3 linked regions of the Drosophila melanogaster genome follow. The protein of the gene in region 2 purifies or fractionates together with the protein of the main gene of each other region. This does not show direct contact. Each region holds a gene or a part of one and is shown on either strand. Other genes may lie near its edges.

The links. Proteins that work in one complex are often made in the same cells at the same time.
Region 1: the proteins of wts (region 2) and jub purify together in Drosophila melanogaster (affinity purification with western blotting; 4 studies listed by BioGRID). This does not show direct contact.
Region 3: the proteins of wts (region 2) and Zyx purify together in Drosophila melanogaster (affinity purification with western blotting; one study listed by BioGRID). This does not show direct contact.

Annotation. Positions count from the first base shown.
Region 1 is NC_004354.4:13,825,830-13,831,933, reverse strand, and holds jub (ajuba LIM protein), read left to right. Parts: upstream 1-1,616; 5' UTR 1,617-1,923; coding exon 1,924-3,292; intron 3,293-3,680; coding exon 3,681-3,710; intron 3,711-4,214; coding exon 4,215-4,355; intron 4,356-4,424; coding exon 4,425-4,594; intron 4,595-4,813; coding exon of another isoform or gene 4,814-4,828; coding exon 4,829-4,891; intron 4,892-4,981; coding exon 4,982-5,147; intron 5,148-5,216; coding exon 5,217-5,464; 3' UTR 5,465-5,604; downstream 5,605-6,104. Other genes in the region: AMPdeam (AMP deaminase), read left to right, coding at 1-232, 300-594, 656-766, 834-1,013. UniProt on the Drosophila melanogaster protein: Regulates organ size by inhibiting apoptosis and promoting cell proliferation by influencing the expression of G1/S-specific cyclin-E (CycE) and apoptosis 1 inhibitor (th). Negatively regulates the Hippo signaling pathway.
Region 2 is NT_033777.3:30,803,565-30,808,574, forward strand, and holds the start of wts (warts), read right to left. Parts: upstream 3,056-5,010; 5' UTR 2,724-3,055; intron 1-2,723. Other genes in the region: dj-1beta, read left to right, coding at 3,634-3,720, 3,784-4,103, 4,170-4,326. UniProt on the Drosophila melanogaster protein: Negative regulator of Yorkie (Yki) in the Hippo/SWH (Sav/Wts/Hpo) signaling pathway that plays a pivotal role in organ size control and tumor suppression by restricting proliferation and promoting apoptosis.
Region 3 is NC_004353.4:1,062,002-1,066,688, forward strand, and holds the start of Zyx (zyxin), read right to left. Parts: upstream 3,001-4,687; 5' UTR 2,822-3,000; intron 2,381-2,821; 5' UTR 2,244-2,380; intron 919-2,243; exon of another isoform or gene 677-918; intron 1-676. Other genes in the region: apolpp (apolipophorin), read left to right, coding at 3,107-3,182, 3,855-3,884, 3,939-4,687.

The DNA of each region.
Region 1 (6,104 bases), on a different chromosome or scaffold from region 2:
TCCTGCCGCTCTTCGAGGCGACAGCCCGACCCAGTAAGCATCCCGAGTTGCATCGCTTTCTGCAGTACGTGATCGGATTCGATTCGGTGGACGATGAGTCCAAGCCGGAGAATCCGCTCTTCGACAACGATGTGCCACGTCCGGAGGAGTGGACCTACGAGGAGAATCCGCCCTATGCCTACTATATCTACTATATGTACGCCAACATGACGGTGCTGAACAAGTTTAGACAGTGCGTAGAAGTATATTGATATGTATATATATCATTGATTAACCCACTGTTACCTTTGATACATCAGATCTCGCAATATGAACACCTTTGTGCTGCGGCCCCATTGCGGCGAGGCTGGACCCGTGCAGCATCTGGTTTGCGGCTTCCTCATGGCCGAGAACATCTCCCACGGCCTCCTGTTGCGCAAAGTGCCCGTGCTGCAGTATCTGTATTATCTGACCCAGATTGGCATCGCCATGTCGCCGCTGTCGAACAACTCCCTGTTCCTCAACTATCATCGCAATCCGCTGCCAGAGTATTTGGCCCGTGGCCTCATCATTTCCCTCTCCACGGATGATCCCTTGCAATTCCACTTCACCAAGGTGGGCTAGACAATATATGCTTTAATATTCAGCATTAAATTAACCCATGTCCGCTTTTCAGGAACCCCTCATGGAGGAGTACAGCATTGCGGCACAGGTGTGGAAGCTCAGCTCATGCGACATGTGCGAGCTGGCCAGGAACAGTGTGATGATGAGCGGATTCCCACATGCCGTGAGTTCCAAGCATGCTTTCTGCTTTATGTTCGGACAAATGATTCCAATTCCGATTTCATCCACAGATCAAACAGCAGTGGCTGGGACCCATCTATTACGAGGACGGTATCATGGGCAACGACATCACGCGCACCAATGTGCCAGAGATCCGTGTGGCCTATCGCTATGAGACACTGCTGGACGAGCTGTCCAACATCTTCAAGGTGAACCAGACGTGCTCCATTGCAGACATGAACGCCACATAGTCTGGTCCATGCGGTACATCTGCTCCATCGCGTTGTTGTGGCTTCCTATGCTAACTTAATGCAAATTACGCAGATATATACGCTAGTTATATACATAATTTAAATGTTTCTGTACTAACCAAAATGTAAACGCGGCAGACCAAAACCTTTAAATATACAAAACTTGTACACGAAACTTCCATTCATTCAACTTTTATTTAAAAATAATCATAAGGTAAATAATATATAAATATAAATAATAATATATTTCGAGCTATGGGATCTAAAATTGTAGTTTTGGCTAACCTTTTGGGTTCAAAAGTAAAAATAGTGGATATAAGTTAAAAACTCAAGAAGAGTAATATTAAAATTTCAATGTTTGAAATTTAGACCTCAAATATTTCAAAATCCCGACTTTAAATGGATTAAAATTATTGCAAGCTAAAAAAATAACTAAGTGGAATTGTAATTAAATTTACAATTTTAAATAATAACGTTGCTAGATTAAAAAAAAAAAAACAATGTAATGCAATGCAATATGTATTTGATATTTTAGAGTGGCCCTTTTGAGCTGCAGTATATTTTGTGGTATATTCGCCTGCCTGCCGGACAGTATATTATAAACGTAACCCGCGGCGGTCACACTTAACTGTACGAATTTTTTGATATTCCAATGCAGGCGCACAAAGAAAATGCAGAAAAGCTGATAGAATAAAGGAAAAGCCGACTGACTGATTGCCAACTAGCCGAGCACAGTTAGCTAAGGTCTTTTCCGACCGGGAAAAGCGAGCCAATCGTTGATTTCGGGGCGGCGTCCCCCCCGCAGAGCGAGACAGCAAGTGTGGCGAGGGAGTAGGAGAGACGGAAGAAGAAGACGATAAGGAGGAGGAGCAGGATCTGGTGGATAAATATACATATATCAAAAGACAGAATGACCACCCAGCGGACGCAGACGCAGGCGAGGAATCCCGGCAACTCCGATTCCGACTATGAGACACTGATGCAGCGTCTTCACATCGGTGGGGGAGGTGGTGCTGGTGTTGGAGGAGGGGGCGGCAGTGGTGGCCCTGGAGACGGGGGCGTGGCCATGCGAAGCTACCAGCGCTCACCGGGCGCCATTGAGAACTACCTGCAGGAAAGTCAGCAGCAACAGCAGCAACATCAGATGCAGCAAATGCAGCAACTCCATCACAATCAGGACTATAAGCTGTACGAGCGCGGCAACATCATTGCCGCCTCCAAATACGCCACGCCCCGTCCGGTGGAGCAGATACAGCACACGCACAACGGAAGTGCACAAATCTATGCACCGACCGCACAGATTCTGGGCCAGCGGATTGCACCGCAGAAGCATTCGCCGGTATATGAGAACTTGGAGTTCTACGGTCAATTCGATTCAAACCACAAGAGGGCTCAGCCTCAAAGTCCCGGGAGCAGGCAGAGCGCCATATTGAACGGCTATCTGCTGATGCAGCCCATTCGGGCTGGGCGCTTTGCACACACGCCGGTGCCAGAGAATCAAGGATCTGCATCGTTGGGAACGACCAGAGCAGCAGGAGGACCACCACCACCATCGGGACGTTCTGCTGCTTTGGGTCCAACTGGCGATCTGGAGGAGCATGCTGCGCCCATATACGAGAACATCATTCCACACTCTGGCCAGCGGGCACAGCCACAGGCCTCGCCGGCCACCGCCACCATGTATCAGGAGATGCAGCCCACGTCCAACTCCTCAGGCAGTTCGTCCACCGCCGGTCTGGATCTCAATGCGCTGCTGGCCTCGCCCATGCACCAGCGAAGCATTAGCAGCAACACGGCCAGTTCTAGCTCCTTGGGATCGCCAACGCAACGATATAGGAATCTATCGTTACCTAGCCACCTAAGTCCCGTACCCACCGCGCAGTCGGTGGCCAAACTGCAGCAGCACACGCCCGTTAAGTCGCCCGGCGGCGCCATTAATGTCTCCGTTAATCCTAACTATATAGAGGACATCAATAGCTCTGACTACGTTTGCATGACGGCGAATCTGCACAGGAATACGGCAGCAGGATTGGCTACCGGCAGGGCGGCTGCAACGGGAGCCCCTGCCCAGCGAACTGTCCAGGAACCACCAATAATAACGTCATCACTGGCCATGGGCATGGCCACGGCAGCTCCACCAACCACATCCAATGCACCGACATCAGCAGCAGCGGCACCAGCAGCACCAACATCCACCGCTTCCTTGCGGGCGACGCCCATTGCGATGACGGCTCCTCTGGCGGTGGCCACATCACCCACTCCCTCGCAGGGCAGCACAGGTAAGCGACTGACGATCGTCTGTCCCCAAAATGGCGAATTACTTTAAGTGATGGAATAGATACTGCATCGCTTAGGTGGAGTACATGCTATATATAGTAAAGTGAACAAAAATTCTATCGATCCATTTAAAGATGCATGGTTACTTTACTAAACTAAAGCTATCATTTAAATATGGAATAATAATAAAAAGCACCTTCAACGTACTTTTTATTATACATAAACATGTATTTCGCCTAGCATGCAACATATTATAATATTTCAGTATCTATGTATGCATACTTTTGCCTACATGGATACATTCCATCACTAAACAACCATCAATTCGAGATTGTATTAATCAAACTAATGAATCCAAATGCTTCCCCCATCAAAAATGCTTGCACGCAGCCGTTAATGCTGCCTTGAAACCCAGGAGAGGTATGACGGGCTGAGCTTGGTTTCTCCAAAGGGGTTGGGTTCCGTTCGTGTCATCACTCATCGCTCAATCATAAACCGGTTGGCGGGGCGACAAACTTTGGTCAAACGGTTGCCGCTAACCGGTTTAATTTTAAGTCCTTTACCTGAACCGATTCAATGACAACCGAAACCGATTCGAATGCAATATCGTTCATTTTCATTTCACCATGATTGAAATTGCGATTTTATCGTTTAAACAAACAAATTTTTTATGTTTTGTCGATGGGAATTATAATTAGAAAAATATTATTATAATTTGATTTCATTTTTCATTCAAGAATTTGGCTTACACCGCGAATTTTTCAGCTTTTTTCCTGATTTATTTATTTCAATTATTTTCGTTTGTCCCAACAATGCGCCCGCATATTTATTTTTGTTTTTTCCTAACTAAGCTGACTAATCTTCACTTGGCCTTGCAAGCCAAGTCAATAGCATGACCTAATATCTACTCTGTACCGCCATCAGGTCTCACCAAGAATCTGCTACCGTATAGCGTCACCCCGCCGCGTCCGGCTGGCCCGACGGAGGCGCAGCGCAAGATCGAAGAGCTCACACGCCAGCTGGAGGAGGAGATCGAACAGAGCGAGGAGCACGGCGAATACTTTGGTGTGTATTTATTGTTAGCACTTAACCATAATATCTCTGACTCACAATAATATCGGTTACAATCACTAGGCATTTGTCACACATGCGGCGAGAAGGTGAAGGGTGCCGGGCAGGCTTGCCAGGCGATGGGCAATCTGTATCACACCAACTGCTTCATCTGCTGCTCCTGCGGACGGGCGCTGCGAGGCAAGGCGTTCTACAATGTGCATGGTCGGGTCTATTGCGAGGAGGATTACATGGTGAGAAGATAGTTGTAGTTGTAGTTTAGTCAGGACTGAAAAATATTGATATTCCCCGTAAAAACTCCTTTTCATTTTGAGAAAACACTTTCCCAACTGTATTGTGTTGTTTGAATTTTATTATATTTATGATTATAAATCGTTATTTTTGGTTACTGACGCAATTACCTTTTCATTTGCTTTGTTATGATTTCAACGCCATTAATTAATAATAATAAGAATTCACTCTTGCAGTACTCGGGCTTCCAGCAGACGGCGGAAAAGTGCGCCATCTGTGGCCATCTGATCATGGAAATGGTTCGTACTGCACCCCATTCGTTTCTATCCCACTCTAATTGGGCAACTTGTACTCACATTGACGTCGCTCTCGCTCTTTCCCTCTTGCAGATCTTGCAGGCCATGGGCAAGTCGTATCATCCGGGCTGCTTCCGGTGCTGTGTGTGCAATGAGTGCTTAGACGGGGTGCCCTTCACCGTGGACGTGGACCACAAGATCTACTGCGTCAACGACTACCATCGAATGTTTGCGCCCAAGTGCGCTAGCTGCGGCAAAGGTGGGTTCACAACTTCATTCCGAATAATACGTCAATGCTAATCTCGCAATCGTCGGCAATTCTCGGCAGGCATCACACCCGTCGAGGGCACCGACGAAACTGTGCGCGTCGTCTCGATGGACAAGGACTTCCACGTGGACTGCTACATCTGCGAGGAGTGCGGCATGCAGCTGACCGATGAGCCGGACAAACGCTGTTACCCGCTGGACGGGCGCCTGCTCTGCCGCGGTTGCCACCTGCAACGTCTGGCGCTGCAATCCTCGCCACACGCTCGTCATCAGGAGCCCGTCTGCGCTTCGTACCAGTATATGGGATAAGCGGAACGGAGTGTGGCTGGGAGAGGCGGCGCGGCGCAGACCGACCTTCCGACCTTCGACTGAGTGGCGCACAAAACCAGAACAAACTATCGCAATCAACTTATTCCAATTAACAATATTATCTTAAATAGACAGAAGTGAAAACAAATGCATTTATACGAAACGAGGGCCAAGCTAATGGCTTTTTTTTTTCTTCATTTTTATGGCAGTGTACTAGGATCTCGAAACGGATCTGTTAGAAACTATGTAATGGATTCCTAAAATCTCCGACAGTTGGCAGCCATTGTTGGCAATACTATTTTGATACAAGTATATTGATGTGTTCTTCATATGTATGTCCTGGGGTGTTCCTGAGACCTCTTGAGGTTTCAATGCAATAGCAAACGGTGTCTCAAATTATGCAATAAAATACTTAATACTTCTTATCTGAAAGTCTTTTGTGGATATTCCAGTGGGTTAGTGGCTTGTTGTGATACATACCATACATTCGGTTATTAAGTAGCGAAAATGCAAAATTTTAATTGTTTGCCTAAACCGTGAGTAATTAACATATACGTGTGACATTTTGAATTTTGTTTAGTTTTCTTATAACACATACATACAAAATATTTTCTTTTAAATTTTTCGAATGCTTAATGCT
Region 2 (5,010 bases):
CGGCGGCTGCTGCTGGGTCGCCTTTGCTCTTGCTCTCTTTCTCCCGCTCGCTCTCCATCTCTCTGTTTTCGTTTCGTTTTCCCTTTTTTCATACACTCTCTCACACAAACACACACACACACTCTCTGGAGGTGGTCGGCAAAAAGGGGGCGGGGATCGAAGCAAGCAAGAAAAACGAGCTAAATTGCATTTTCGTCGTCAACATCGCTCGACTTGCATTGCAACGAAACAGGGGCGCAGAAGGGGTGCGGAAAATTCCAGGGGGTTGGGGATTTTCATTGGGATTAGCCCAAGATCAGCGAACACCCTCACAAGCTTAGGATATACGGTCTTTGGGAAAATAGCCTAAAATTCTTCAATGTGACTTAGGAACTAGGATGCTCAGTATCCGTTAACTTTATTTGTATCAAAAATCATTTCATTGAAAAGAGTTTAATCGTTTAAAGATTACACTGGAATCCATATAGCACTATGCTCCATTGCGTTCTACACTTTCTGCGGGGTATCCCTATGGTCGTCACAATCCCCGCGCCAAACTTCCTCTTCCTTTTCTTGTTTTATCGTTCATTTACTTTTAAAAGCGAGCAACAACAGCAAAAACAGCCCACTGTATTGGTATTTATTGCCCTGCTCTCTGCTCGTTGGCTATATGCGCGCGCGTGTGTGTGTGTGTCTCTGTGTGCTCTGTGGAATGCACACGATCGACGCCAATGGAGCCTCACCTGTTCCAGCAGCAACAACAACTATCACAACTACAACAACAGCTACAACAAAGGCAGCAACAAACAACAACACACTCACATAATCCACTGCGAATTGCATGCTGGAATGTGAATGGAATCCCAGCGATTTTCCAGCGTCGCTGACGATGACGCCGCTGTTTGCTGGTTTTAAGCAAAAACAACAATCGCAACATCGCCAACAAGCACAAAAACAACAATAGTAGCAGTAGTAGTAGTAGTAATAGTAGTAGTCCGTCCCACTAGTGACTGCAACAACAAAGTTTTGCACATTTCGGAGTCGTTTTTTTGGACTTTAGCTTCGATTTCAGTTGCAAGTTTTGTGGGCTTGTTTATATCATAGCTGTGTACCATAATATTTGGAAATCCGATAGAGAATCGATGGTTTACTTCCATTCTATACAAAATAGTGTATGTAGAACTGAAGTCTGCTTTTGATGGCAAGTATAAAACCATTCAATAAAGTTGCTGCTAGTTTTAGCTACTAAAGAGTATTCAAACTACAGATAGCTGTGTCACACACATTCTGCATCTCATTGCAATTAAGTTTATGAATTTTCGGCTGGCTGCCTCCACAAAGGATGAGGTCTCGATGTCCCGCCCCTTCGTTTCTTGCTTTGTGCTTCGTGTTTCGTGCTTTTGCTTTTTCGCGAGCACAAACGGGCCGCCTGAGAAATTATTGTCGCACTGACATTGAAGTGGCGGCGCTGCCTCTAATTACAAATTACAATGGGCCGCAGTTACTTGTGCCACATTTCGCATTTGCATCTTGCGTCTGTGCATTTACTGTTCTGCTCCCGCGGATTTTCCCCATTCCGTTGATTGTGTACTCTAGTCACATGCAAATCGGAGGCAGCTGCTGCCCACGGTTGCATCAACACCGCGCATACTGTCACAAAGTTGATCTCTGCTATGACTACAGTGGCTTCTGCCTATGTGGGTTAATGAAGAATATGCTCTTCCATTTCATATCCATATGTGGGGGTTATTGTTACATATCAAAGTAGCATTTTGTGATTATTAGATATTTGTGTATGACTCATTCTTTTTGCTTAAGTCCATCAAATATGAAAATTAAATTTGTTTCTAACTGGAATATTTTCATAGTTTCAAATTGCAATGATTCAAAAGTTTCCTTTATAGTAAATATCACAATTCTACAATAGTCCTCGCAGTTTCTTTTAGTAGATCTTCACTGTATTCAAATCTTGCTCCGTTTTCGCCATGTTTTCCTTGTATTCCCGCAATTACCACTATTATTATTGTTATTGCTGTTACTCTAATTGTACTACTCTCAGTTTTCGTTGTTTAATGTCTTGTTGATTTCTCGAATTTGTAATTCTTTCGACACACGAATATCGCAGCCAATTAAGCGCTGTTTCAGTTGGAAAATGGTAAGAGGAAACGGGAAAACCGAGAAAAGTGCGTGCATACATTGACCTTGCCTAATGTCGTTGGCATTCGAAATTACACTGGAATAAAGTTAAAAATTCTACGAGATTGATAGTTTTCCATGGACACCAGTACCCTCCGCCAGAAAGAGAGGGAAGACAGAAGAATTTAATCCGATTTGTGTAGCAACCTCTCGCTCGCTCTCTTTGTCTCCTCCGTTCTCCCCCACACACACACACTCGCACGCAGCCGTACTGATTTATTCCACGAGAGAGCGAGAGCGAAATATGTAAATACAGCCTGTTGCATTTGTGTGTGTGCTTCGCATTTCGTTTTCAGGCACTTTTCCGCACATTTTTGATTGCTTTTCGTGCGTTTTCCGTGCAGTTTTCCTTGCTTTTCCACACAGGCAATTGGAAATGCACACCAACACACACATGGGGCGCACACCAGCGCAGCCACACACGCACTGGCTTACACACACACACACTCGCACACATTCAACAGATATTGCATTTTCTTTTTGGACTGGAAGATACGCAAATTCCAGCTGCAAACGTTGCATTTTCACCAGGCATTTTCCGCAATTACCTTCTTCGCGTTTTCCACGTTTTCCACGCAATTTCCTCGCTTTTCGCCTCTTTGTTCTCGCCTTTTTCGCGTTTCCCACACACGGCACTTATTGCTTTTCCTCTTTTTCTCCGTTTTTCCTTGCCTTTTGACGACAATTCGCTGATATTTGCCGACGTATTTTCACTTGATTCACTCGCGTTCGCAACCCATCACTTTTCGCGTGCATTCAATCGCATTTTTCAGGCATTTCCGATGCGCGTTTGGCTTAAATTTAGTAAAATTAATTCGTGGTTTTGTTGCTGCCGTCGTGCTAGATATGTTCACATATCGATAGACCGATATCGATAGACAGAGATCTAGGGAGGAGCAGCTGTACTTGGTCTGGCAACCACATCAGGTATCGATAGGATTTGACCGTGGTATATAAACATCGATATTATACTGAAAACAAATATAAAAATATTTCAGTGATCAGTTTATATAAATTTATGTAATACGACAGAATATAGAGAGCAAGTAAATGTTATCGGTTTTAACTTAAAGAACAAGACTTGTTAGAATTGTTAATGAGGTTTCAAACCATTTCTGTGTAGCACGTAGCATAGACGCAATCCTTTTCTCATATAAATAAAATCAACTGATTTCAAAGTCTTAATATTTTAAAATATAATGCAGAACATTGTTTTGAGTAAGAATGAAAATATTAACTTCCTGTGAAAAACAGAAGTTTTAAATGCATCAAATTAGTCGCCTAACTGCAAGTCAAACCAAATTATACAAGTGTTTTAGTTTGCCGCTCAGTTTTTGAAACCTCGATAAGGAAAACTCAAAGCTGCGTTCCAGAACAGCGCTATCGATAAGCTATCGTATCTGCATGGTTTTCTTTGGATTTCCTCAAATTTCAAGGCACTTTTCTAAGTTTACCAAGATGTCGAAAAGCGCGCTGGTGATTTTGGCTCCCGGAGCGGAGGAGATGGAGTTCATCATAGCCGCCGACGTTCTGAGAAGGGCGGGCGTAAGTGCTCTCAACCTTTCCATTAAATCACTCTGTTCTATACTTATACTTACTATATGATAGATCAAGGTCACCGTAGCCGGTTTGAATGGCGGGGAAGCGGTGAAGTGCTCGCGGGATGTGCAGATCCTGCCGGACACCTCGCTGGCCCAGGTTGCCTCGGATAAGTTCGATGTGGTGGTGCTGCCCGGCGGACTGGGTGGCTCCAATGCCATGGGGGAGTCCTCGCTGGTCGGTGACTTGCTGCGCAGCCAGGAGTCTGGTGGCGGACTCATCGCCGCCATCTGTGCCGCGCCCACCGTTTTGGCCAAGCACGGCGTCGCCTCCGGGAAATCCCTCACCTCGTATCCCTCAATGAAGCCCCAGCTGGTGAATAACTATAGGTATACCACCTCTTAAGTTTATTTTCCCATGATCTTCATCCCATTTCTTTTGATTATTTCTTTAAGCTATGTGGACGACAAGACGGTGGTCAAGGATGGCAATCTGATCACCAGTCGAGGTCCTGGCACCGCCTACGAGTTCGCCCTCAAAATCGCCGAGGAGCTGGCGGGCAAGGAGAAAGTCCAGGAGGTGGCCAAGGGTCTTCTTGTGGCCTACAACTAACATATTTACACTTATTTATGAAAACAGATTGTTTCAAGAGCAACTCATGCAAACAACAACTGAATTAAAATAAAATTATTCAAGACAGAAGTTGTGATTCAATTTTATATTTGCTATTTGAAAGAAGTTTAAATGGAGAGCTAGGAAATGGCATGTTGTTAAAGATATATTAAAGAAATTTATTTAAGTGAATTTAAATGTCATTATTTGAAGCAAACGGTTTTCATTTAATTAGTTTTGAGCGAAGTATAATTCTATCATAATGAATCAACTGAACTGCGTTAAAATAAATTGTTCAATGGGCTTTAATTTAATTTGTCATGAAATATAAATGCATATATGGCATGAAAAAAGAAACATCTATATTATTTCATTTGGTTATGACTGGACTATAAATGAAATTAAAAATGCATATATTAAAATGGGATGTGAAGCCAAATGGAAGTATTGCTGACGATATATTTACAAAATAGTACATTATTAATATATTTAGTTATATTCAATATTTACATTGATTAAACATTCTGCTGCATTTAATTGTAAAATTTTAAAAATAGCTGAAAGTAATGGCCTACGGTGGAATACCCCTACTGGGTTGGAGTCCCTGCACACCACAACCCGTGCCGCGAACCGTGGTTGCCGTCTCCGCTCGCGCCAAAAGGGACTAAGTATTTCGTCGCTAGC
Region 3 (4,687 bases), on a different chromosome or scaffold from region 2:
ACTTTATGGGAAAGTTTCATTCAGGGATAATTAGTGAGACAAGTTTGTGTAGAAGCGAACGGATGGCAAAACAGACGATGAACGGCGATATCGACTCCACCGCTTTCCAGAAACTGATCAATAATTGATAAACCCCTGAACAAATTTTTAACTCAAATTTTTATAATATTTCCTTTGGGCCCAAACAAAACAAATGGCTGTCATGTAGGTGGCTTCCGATAAATTCGCTCACTCGACCACTGTTATTAAAAATATTTATAAGTTAACTTTATGAAATAAATCTCGTTTCAACATCATCCGAAATTGCATTTTTGTTCTTCTCCCAGACAAAGGAATTTTAAAATAAATTAAATCTGGTGCGGCTCTTTCAATTTATTTTTTCGTGATATTTGGTTCAGCTAATTTGCTAATAAATGTAAATGTAAATGCGAAGTCATATTACTTCATATTCAAGAAGAAAATTCTGTTCTCTTCTTATCTTCATGTAAGAAATTCACATTAAATACCGTGGAGGTCTGAATATAAATATTAATTTCATTGAATAAAGTTCCTCGTTAATATAAAAATGATTGCAAACCACAGTTGCTTGTAAATAAGTACCATAACGATATCCATATTTTTGAACACCACACCCAATCGTCTAATTGTTTGGCCCAATCGAAGCGAAATTAAGCTCGGTGGAGGAGTATTGTAAAGGATAGGGGAATGACCGATTTCTAAGGAGCCACATAATTAGGAGCCAAAATAATTATTAATTAATCAAATACCTTTTTAGTCAAGTGGTATAAAAACCCTAAATATGGGAAATCTATCATGAAAGGTGCACTTTTAAAAGGAAGCTGACTTGGAATCACTTCACATATGTACGGCCATAGAGCTCAATTCATCAGCGGAATCTTTTCAGAAAATGTGGGCACGGTAATCTAACTTTTTAATGGTTAAAGAAAAAAGATTTAAATGGTTGTAATCAGACAATCGTAACTGACATCCTATTCTACGCTTCTAAACAGTGGTCTCCTGCTGTCACAACGCACTATTAGTGATCATCTTCAAAGCGTGGACTTCCGTTTACGATGATTTATTTACTAACCGGGAACAATACAAGAGTAAACTTCTTTCGAACTGTAATTTTTTCTGTCCGATCACGCAGGCTGCCTTTCTGCGTGCTTATCGAGCAGCGTTTTGCTTTCCAGCAACTTTTAATTACAGATTAAAGTTTCTTATCAGTCGTTAACTGCAATTCAGGAACGAACTTTCATATAAACATATTTTATACATCTGTTCAAAATCAAATAAATATACATGTGTAAATATGTGTATGCATATTTTAAATACCTATGTACCTATGCTTGCATTTGTAAGCATACTTTCATCTATATGAAAAAAGGGCATAAAAATGTATAACAAATTCCATTACAGATGTGTGCAAACATGGATTGCAAGTGACAATCTCTGCAAATGCATATATGTATGTATGTATGTGTGTACTTGCGCATTCACATTAAATTTGGAATGATAACAATTGTTACATCGAATTTCTCAATACCTATACATAAAACATAATTGCTTTAGAGTTACAACTAGTTTTCTTATTTGCACATACAGTTTGTCAAGAAACTGTTTACACACTGTGAAATAAGTTGAATTTTTGACTTTAAAGGTAAAAACTAAGGGTTCTTTGCTTAAATTAAACGCAATTTTTTTCTAAAATATAATTAATCAATATTTATTTTACTTATGAATCAAAAAACGAATTAAAAATATTAATTATACAAGAAAATAAACAACAAATTCCAAGTTTACACACTTTTGAGACTGTCAAGTATATAAATATCAGTTTTCAACATTTATAATCACAATTATACTTTGCATTTCTTACAGTTTTCAACACCTTTAAGAGGAAAACGTAATTTGCGATTTGTTTATTACTTTATTAGCCCAAAGCCATATTTAAAATATTGAAAAGGTAGATGAAAGGATTTTGTACTACTAAAGTAATAGAGTGATTCGAACAATATTTGCTTTTAAGTTACATTTTTAATGGAGACTGTGGGTGGTTTTGGTAACATATGGCTTGCCAGAAAATGCGGTGAAGTGTAAATTAAAATGCTTAATTGGGTATAATAGGTCTGGTAGGATGGCCAGAAGGGGGTGGTCACCCAAAACAACCAAGTTTAGAAGCAAGCATAAACGACCCTGTAAAGTATATATATATATATATAAACTTGAGCAGGATTTCTTACCAAATCGATCTGGGCATGTCCGTCCGTGCCCACACTTTTGAAAAATGTTTGATATTTTGCATTTTTGTTATCAGTCAGATTTATCAATCAGATTTTACAATCTACCGATTTTTACGTCGCTCACTGTCACGCCCACACTTAAAAAAAATTTTGTGATTTTTTTTCATGTTATTATTTTTCTGGTCATTTTCCACTGGTATATCGAGAAAATGTAGGTGAAAGACGGGAAATGGTACTATAGCGTCTACATTTTCTATATATTCTATATTTTATATCAGCCATTGTAAGTTGAGCACGTATTATGCAAAGCGATATATTTTTATTTAATTATATCTATATTTAATTATTCTTTATTTTATTTTTGTCTTATGTATTAGATGAAAATTGAGAGTAGGTAAAGGTACTAAGCTAGGGTCGAGTATGTCGAAGTCCGATTATAATGAGATTATATTAAATACACTCGGCTTTGGCCTGAGCACCCATCGCTGGTGATAAAGAATCGTTTAAATGCATGTCTCTCACAATGTGTCTTCATCTGTACTTGTTTCGCTGTATTTGTATTTATTTACAAGACATACACTTAAATACTATGTGGCACAATTGTAGATGTGTGAGTTCTTGATTTATTTGAGGTATTTAAAGTGAGTGTTTTCACGTAATCCGGCTTAATTCGTAGACAACGTTCATTGTATTCGAATCGGTTTAATTCGCGGATGGTCTGTGTGTTTCTTAATCTAAGAAGTATATACAAAGTGAAATTGGACCAGTGTTGGTAAAGGTAAAAAATACATGTAGTAAAATAAAAATGTGATACAAATTGTGGCGTTTGCTATTCCCAGGCTATCCCTAAGGGGCCCAGCGTAATGGCCAGGATGAAATACAATATCGCTTTGATTGGAATCCTAGCTTCTGTGCTTTTAACAATTGCTGTAAATGCTGGTAAGTGCTACAAGTTAAGCTAACCATAAATTATTGAAATCTTGATTTTTATCGAATGATATAGATTATGTAAACTAAATCAAAAATAAATGAGCCGATCGTGTAAAAACATGGTTTAACTACTTAAATCTCTTACAGGAGATTTAATTATGAATGATTTTCTCTACTTTACAAAATTACACTTTTTATATTATATTGACTATAATACTATAAAATTTATTAGAATACAAAACTTCAAATTTGCTCCAAAAAAGTCAAAGTTATAAGGATTTGGAATATTCAAAAAAAAAAAAAAAAAATCAAAGTTTGACAAATGCTGTTTTTGCCAGTTAAACCGCAATGTCCAACTGGATTCTTTTTCAGTAAATTGTTAAAAACGGATAGCAAGAGAAATTCTTTTGCCAATAGCTCCGTTAAAAAATCATATATTTCATAAAAATCGTTTGAGTCCCATCAATCAAAACATATAAAATTAGAGGACATTGCACCTTTAAAACTCAAAATCATTGATAACGATTTATAGACCTTATAGATGGTTCAGGTAAATACATAAGTGGTAAAGGGGGAACCCAAATTTTAAAATTCTTTCTGGTGATACTAATATTTATTTGGCGACTTGGAGATTACTTTTCCTTAATTCATTCTATACAAACATTTTCTTTTTAATTTTAGAAAACGCTTGCAATCTAGGATGTCCAAAATGTAAGTAATACAAAAAAAGTATGTATTTATATACTAAACAATTTTATGCCACAGCTGACAATGGACTTTTGAAGTACATACCCGGCAACTACTATGACTATTCCTTCGACAGTATTTTAACTATTGGAGCGAGTAGCGACGTTCCGAACGACTCAGATGATACAAGTCTTAAAGTGTCCGGATCTGCAAAAATTTTTGCGAAAGGAAACTGTGGGTACACATTACAGTTAAGTTCCGTTAAGGTAACTAATACAAAAGAGTCTGTGGAGAAAAAGATATTGAACAGCATTCAGAAGCCAGTTCAGTTTACACTGGTAAGTGGAATTTTAGAGCCACAAATTTGCTCAGACTCCAGCGACTTGGACTACTCTTTGAATATTAAGCGCGCAGTTGTATCATTGCTTCAATCGGGAATAGAAGCGGAACATGAGGTTGACGTTTTCGGCATGTGCCCTACACATACATCAACATCGAAAGTGGGTAACGCAAATATAATTACGAAGGCGCGGAACTTAAACAGCTGTTCGCATCGCGAGCAGATAAACAGTGGCTTGGTGTCCGGCAAAGTTAACGAAAAAGCTGGCATTACGTCTAGCCTGCTGTTGCAGGCAAACTATATAAAGGAGTCCAGGATTGTAAACCACTTAATTGAAAATGTTCAGCTGACAGAAACATATAAGTTTATTGGAAATACTAAAAGAAACTCTGATATCAGTGCAAAAGTAGTCACAATATTAAAACTGAAAAATCCAAGCGGTACCAAGGCAAACTCACCAGGAACTGGTTCTACTGTCAGAAGCCTA